2 linked regions of the Saccharomyces cerevisiae S288C genome follow. Changing the gene in region 1 together with any one later gene gives a genetic interaction. Each region holds a gene or a part of one and is shown on either strand. Other genes may lie near its edges.

Evidence for each region. Genes that interact genetically often act in the same process or in processes that back each other up.
Region 2: mutations in BNI5 (region 1) and GIC2 impair growth when combined (synthetic growth defect), as found in Saccharomyces cerevisiae (one study listed by BioGRID).

Annotation. Positions count from the first base shown.
Region 1 is NC_001146.8:321,812-325,569, forward strand, and holds BNI5 (Bni5p), read right to left. Parts: upstream 1,755-3,758; coding exon 408-1,754; downstream 1-407. Other genes in the region: YNL165W (uncharacterized protein), read left to right, coding at 2,021-3,241; IBD2 (Ibd2p), read right to left, coding at 3,454-3,758. UniProt on the Saccharomyces cerevisiae protein: Required for normal septin function and cytokinesis. Its recruitment to the bud neck by CDCd11 and SHS1 ensures efficient localization at the bud neck of MYO1, the type II myosin of the actomyosin contractile ring.
Region 2 is NC_001136.10:1,078,406-1,081,881, forward strand, and holds GIC2 (Gic2p), read right to left. Parts: upstream 1,795-3,476; coding exon 643-1,794; downstream 1-642. Other genes in the region: SRB7 (Srb7p), read right to left, coding at 1-44; SUM1 (Sum1p), read right to left, coding at 2,723-3,476. UniProt on the Saccharomyces cerevisiae protein: Required for cell size and shape control, bud site selection, bud emergence, actin cytoskeletal organization, mitotic spindle orientation/positioning, and mating projection formation in response to mating pheromone.

The DNA.
Region 1 (3,758 bases):
TGCGACAAAGTTAGCAGGGTTATCGCTAGCGCGGTTAAGTACGACTTGGTTTATGAAAGTTCTTAGAGAAAAGAAGACACAACGCCATTGAAATTGAATTCTGGGTACTGTTATTGTTCCGTTTCATGTTATTACAATATAATTGACTATCTGAACATTTTGTCTTCATTTTTTTTTTTTTTTATTATCGTTTTGTTTACGTTTAGGCGAAATACTCACCTCTTTACTATTAAAATAATAGAATTTATCAGAAAAAAAGTCAGCAACATCAAAAATAACAGATGGATGGCTCTAGGATAAAGGATTCTTATTCTCTTACGATTGTCTATGTTCTTTTGGTATTTATTTTAACTTTATATATCTGTCTTAATTTATAAATATTTATAACAACCCTTGGCGTAATGTAATCATTTAGTTCCAATCCAAAATTGGCCATTTTCGCCACGATCAATTTGCTTTCTCAGATGTCTACTTAATAACACTCCGACCTCATATTTCTCCTTCGTTTTCTTGTCAAGATATTCTTGAAGCTTCACTACGGCTCTATGTAGTCTCTTTCCGTCTTCCATAGATAAAGAACCCTGTGCATTCATCTTGTTTAGATAGTCAATTTCCTTTTGTAACTTAATGCATTTCATGGATAAATAATCATGTCTTTTTTCCAGCTTGGCAATACTGCCCAGCTCAGACGCTGATGTGATAGGAGAGGAGACTGGCGAATCATACTTATTTAGTGAAGATTTACGACTTCCGTTTCTTGAATTGGAATTGCTGCTCACCGAGATAACTCTGAACGGATTTGTAGGGCGTCGTGTCTCGAAATTCGCCATTTTTTTCTGTCCATCACCATCTGAATTAAAGTGATTTATATTGGTACCATCTTCTTTAGAATTCTTTTTAGGGATAAAAATTTTAGTTTGAGAATCTAAGGGAGTGCTTCCTCCAGAGCGATTGGGACAATTCTCTGAATTATCGTCATGGGGTGTTTGATCAGCTAAACGGCTGCTCTCATGGTTGTATTCATTGTCACCTCCTACAACTATGGTTTGCGGTTGTATATCTAGATCCTTATTAGCGGAAGAAAATTTGTCTAATACAAGTTCAGCGTCTAACTTGTTCTCACCGCCCAAGGTGTTATTCTGGGGCATGGGTGATTTGAAAGATTCAATCTCACTGTTTTCCTCTGTTCCCTTATCTACTCGCCCCTCTTCAACATCCGATTTTTCATCCTCCCATTCATCATCATTATTTTCGATAATTTCAACATCAGCTTCACCCCTGTTTTGATCTATATTGACTGTACCATCTTCTTTGTTCTCAGTGCAGGAGTCCTTTGCCTTTTCATTTCCAGCGGAATTTGCGACAAATGAATTATAGGAGTCACCAATAGCAATGGCGGTGTGAGTTATCTGCTCTTTCGCTATAAAAGGTTGAGTAACCGATAGCTGGGATGGGTCATCCGTACTCTTATTCGCTTCATTCTCAGTGGGAATATGGACCTGTGCGGTTTTGTGCTCTTCAACCTGAGCTGAATCTCCTGGGTTACTATCCGCTCCATCATTGCCACTAAAAAGAGCCGTTTCTGCCACCTTTACAGCGTCGACCACACCCGTATCCTTGACATTATCTTCGACAGCTTCGTCCTCCGCAGGTTCAACTAATTGTAAATTTTCGTCAATCATCTGGTTCATCTGGTTGATATCTATCTCTATTTGAGAAAGCCTCTTCTTTATCTTGTCCTGGTCCAAGCCCATCGTTTCTGTTGTTCTATTTCACACTAACATAGCATCACCATAACAGTAAATCAAATTACAAAACTATTAATGATTTTTGTTTATTATGAAGTTTGAATTTTCAGCGCAATATTTATTTCATAACGCGTCTAAAATGGTCTGGGTTCTGGGCATCTCTAAAGCCCTTCACTACTAGTGAAGAAGAAGAACAAGTAAGGCTTTTGGAAAAGAAAGAGCATCAAATTGAACGATAGGAGAAGTGCTACATACATTTGCCAAAGATCCGCATGGATAGAGTACGCTCTTTGATTGGAAATCGCCGGGGACGCCGACATAATCGCCAACATCCTCCGTATCCTCACAGTGGGTCTCCATCCACCGTCAATCTCTTGGGAGCTAATGGTTATGGAGACGACCAATCTACAATATTTGCACGAGAAAATGAATCTCTGGAAACCTCTGCCAACGAGGGCGATGATAGTGCGGATGCAGCTACTTTGAATACAGCGGTATCAGAAGGCTCAACAATTGGAGACCTACAAAGACAGGGTTATGTTAACAGAGCCCCAAGATTCACGTCAGAAAGAGCCATGCCATTCGTTTCGGTGCTACTACAACGAGGGTTTTTTGCATTCCCCAGTGAAGAATCTCTCCAGCTATTTTTACACAACAAGAGGAAGCTCGATAACATTGATCCAAAGAGGGGTCTAGGACTTCCCCTATTTCACGCCATTTCTTTAAACCTGGTCAAGTCGCTTTTCAGTGATCAAAATACACCGGTAATGAGGATATATAAATACGTTATGATAGACTCCCAATGCGATAAACCTCCATTAAACTCAGAAGTGGTCTCTCGAATAAACGAAAATGTCTCCATATATAAATATGAATTCTGCACTATTCTAAAAAAAATGGAAAGCCATAATTTTTCGAGCAGGGTAGAGCACGATTTTATATTTCATAGAAAAGATGAACCTGATGTTCATATCCCCATGATTAATTACAATCAAAGGAAAAATGCGGATACGGCAATTCATGGATTAAATCTTCGTTGGTACGGGACAACTAGTTTAGCTTCACCTTTTGGCTCAAATAGCATCAACCTACTTGTACTCGATGATACGATGGCATCCTACATGAACCAACAAACTATTGAAGAGTTTGATTCTTACAGCCGTTCCCGTCCCACAAGACCGCTGGGTTATCTCCCAGTATGGGCCAGATACACAGATGATAAAGTTAGTGTCATACCGAAAAAAAGAACTTTGAGAGTAGCTACCTTGTACTTACAAGAAACTGATTCGTTTGATGATGGCTCTAGTTTAACATCTACCAATTATACTGAAATGGGCTCTAATATCATTGAAAATGTGCCGTGGGATAGTCAGATACTTACTTGCATGTGCATGCTATTACATGAATATGAATCAAGAAAGGAGAAACGCCACACCGCATGGGGCAGCTCGACCACATATATGCTAAATGGACCGGCAGGATTACTGATGTAAACCCATTTGCATTTACTTGTGTTTTTTCCTGTTACTATTTAGTCATAATACCGCTAAGAAGCATATAAATATTCAAAGAGAAATATTGTCGTACACCATTAATTTTTCAATAACTCTTAAATACGTTTAGAATGTCACAAGTTTTCCTCACAAGTTTTCCTCTATTATGTAATGTTCCCTATACTACTTTATTCCTACAGTAATAATGTTGACTATCTATTCCTTTTCCTACTATCTTGTTCATCTCTTGGTGGATTCGGCATACGATTGTAACCAAACGTACGATTATACCACTTTATCATGTTACGTGGTGGTTCACCAAACACCATGTAGTACTCGCAAAATAAACACATGGGACTTGATTCGTTAACTAGGACAGAGAAATCTGGAACACGGTTTTCCGTTCTGGAAATATATTCAAAATCATGATAATAGTAGTTTCGTAGTTTGGATAAGTTTTCATAATGATGATGCGGGCAACAACTTTTATGGTCTCTAGATTCGTCATAAAAGTCAT
Region 2 (3,476 bases), on another chromosome or scaffold:
ATTTGGTCTAAACATATCTGCAATTGTGTTAATCTATCTGTCATTGTTAAAGAGCATATAATGTATTGAACTAGTGAAATGTTATGTCCCTCTTTTAACCAATGGTTTACCGTTTGAATTATAATTATCTTTCAGAATTGATTTTTTTTCTAACTTTCTTGCAATGCGAACAAAGCTTGTAATTAAGCACGTACGGTTGGCCTTTAAAGGATTACAGAGAAAGACAAGGCTTCTACAGAAACAGCCACATGTTCTACAAAAGCGCACTTCACGCATATAAGCATATAAATGTTAGTTATATGAACAATCTTAAGTAATATATAATAAATCAGAAAAGTTTAACTGTAAAAGAAATTGTGTTTTAAAAGAAGATATAATAAACGAATGTATGGGATAACGCCAAGTTAAATGAATGTCCTTGTTTTGTAACTAAAGCAGAAGAAATAATATTGTTAGCTCTAGTTATTTTAATAGTGAAAAAATAGCCGAAATAAAGAACAAAGAAAAAAGAATGAGGAAACGAATGAATGAGATTAACGAGTAAAAAACGAATGAATGATACTTCAGATGGTCCTTGAATATGTTTTATAAGCTGATTCTTTGAATTTTTTTTTTTTTTTTTTTTCATTTTCTGTCCTTAGCTTAAGTTTGCAGGGGCTCGAGCTGGTTGAAAGAATAAAGAACATCATCGAAAGATTTTCTATGGTTTACAGGGGAGTCAGAGTAGGAAAATTTAGATTGTGGAGAAGGCGTAGCTATAGAGTTTCTTCTCTTGGGAAGAGGGCTTTGGCGTGAAGGAAAGAAGGCTTTTGCTGAGTCCTTATTTGAGTTTGGGGTCTCTAAAAGGCTACGATAAGCGCTTGACCTCTGAGAACGAGGCAAGAAGTCTAAAATAGGCTTATCTTCAAGTAGTGTGGGGAAGTTGTAGTTCTTCAAAAAATCCAGCGAAGACTCACTAGAATCCGTGGAATTAGTGTATCTATGACCCAGAGCGTGTGACTTATTTTTAAATTGTTTTGGAGATGCGTTTGGGGAATACTCAAAAATAGATGTAGCCATAGTTGACGTAGATACGACTCTCCCATTAATGGAATGATTGTTTCCTTGTGTGTTTTTAGAGTAATTGGAGGACGTTACTGAGATCGAACGCGCGACTGATAGTCTTGATGTCTTATTTTCGTGCGATCTTGAAATGAGTTTGCTTTCACGATTAGCAGGGATCCTTTCAGTGACAAAAGCTTTATTTAGTGATTTCGAATCCCGCTTGCTTGAGGAGGAGGTATAGTCGTCCTTAATCTCTGTGGACAGCGATGAAGGTTCCTGCAATTGCTCATCTTGGAATCCATTTCTAGTGTCAGCATGTGAAATATGTTGAAAATCAAATGGTGTGGAGATACCTTTACCTCTTATGTCCGGTTGGGCACCAAGCAACTTTTTCTTCAACAAATTAAGCTTAAGGAAAACCTTTTTGTGATTTGTCTTGTTGGCGCTGGACGATGATGACGATGATTCTTTAGACTTTGCAGAGTTAGAATTACTTCTCCTGTGGTGGCAAGACGGATGTGAATTTGGTGAAAGTGGAGGCAACTCAATGTTTTTCTTGTTACTCAGCACAGGTTTATCGCTGTTGATGAAAGTAATGCCTAGGTTTTCTTCATCATCAGATCCCATGAATTGCTGGGCCTGCAGACCGTAGAGTTTTTCAGCTTCTTCATCTTCATCCAGCCAAATCGACCGCATCTGTGGAAGGTTCATGGTTTCGTTTCCAGTATTGGTAATACTTGCACTAGTCATATTCGTTCTTTTGATAGCGTATTCTGTCAGGTATTCCTTTTGTTAGTGTTAGGTGTTTCGGAGCGAAAGATCGAGTTCGATAGCATAAAAAAAGAAGCTCTCTTGAGCAGTAGCAATAATATATACCAGACACGAAACAATCCATCAACAGGTCTCGTTTTACTGGAGTTTTACATTTTCAGTTTCTTTTTCGGATGCGAATGATCACTAGCTTGCAAACACGAATTGATCACGTTTCACAATTGTTCCACCAAACATGGCGATAACGGCAGCGTTTCCTCGAGAAATAGGCAACATCTAGATCTCGAAATGGTTGGTCTGCACCTGTTTCTGGGTGACCAATCCTCGGAGCCATTCCAGTGCTTAAGTCTTCAGGGGCCAGAACGCGTCTTTGCCGGGTGCCGCATTCTTTTGGCCCGGTCGCGCCTGCCCAAAGTAGCAATACACAACACCCAAAGAAGGAATTTCTTTTTCTGGAATATTAATGGAGCGGAGCCGCGCGCTTGCTGAACGCCAAAATTATAAAAACAAACTTTGCAGGTTTTTGAATCTGACGCAGTCAATCATGTTTCTTTTCTCGTGTAGGTTAATATAGATAAGCGCCCAGCGGTATGCTTTTTGCGTTTTTTGCTATTTTGAGACAATGGCGATAGTTTAAGTTTCTTAGTATGCAGAGGTGCTTTTGTACGACTGGGGCGTTCCTCAGCGCAAGAGTAAGAAATAGTTACAAATTCGTCGATAAAGGTGTATGTAATGTTAAGCGCTAAATATGTATGTAATGTTAAGCGCTAAATATGTAATGTTCCAAATAAGTTGGGAGGTTACTTGGTTGGGCATAGTAACGGTCCATTATTTTGTGTTTTTTTTATTTTTTTTTATTTTTCATTTTTTTATCTATTCTCGAAACTGCCCCAACGTACGGACCAGCTTAACGGATATCTGGCGGTATGATTCTGGAATATTTGACCTGGTTGTTTTCTGAACCGTCATCAAGGAAGTCAAAAATTAACATGTTGTCGATGGTTTCATTCAGATTGTCTTCGTTAATGCCGTCCTGACCCAATGCCGGCAGTGTTTCGTTATGGGGAAACATCCACTCTCTCCATTGAGTGGTCACATTGTCGCAGAGGTCGTAGAGGATCATTTTTAGCAGGGTAATATGGTTGTAGAACCATGAAACGGATCGATTAATAAATATTCTGTAGTTTTCCATCTCTTTCACCGCATGCAGGATGGTGTAGTTGTGGAATCTTCTTTTGTCTCTTGATTGGTCTCTCCAAAATTCGAAAAGGGCAAATAACGCCTTTCTCCTTTGCCAGGTTCTTTTGGATTCCCGAAGTTTTAAGCCTAGACCAACTAGTTTATTCTCCCACCTGAATTCCATCAAGAAGTACTCCAAACTGTTAACGTATTTCTCTGTCAGCGTTGTCTTGCTCAAAATTTCAAAGGCAAGTTCCGTCTCTTCTTGAATATCAGGCTTGAAGAAATGCGCATTCATTTTTTCATGCTTTGATTTAGCAGCATAATCCTCCTCATTGATGCTAGAGTTGATCAATTCCTCTTCTTTCGCCTTGAATTTAAATTCCAGGTACGCTCCTGTGGTAATGGGAACGTCCGGAATATCTCTCCGGTAGAAGAAGCCTTCCCGGCAGATTAATTCAATGGGAGTTGCCGTTAACAAT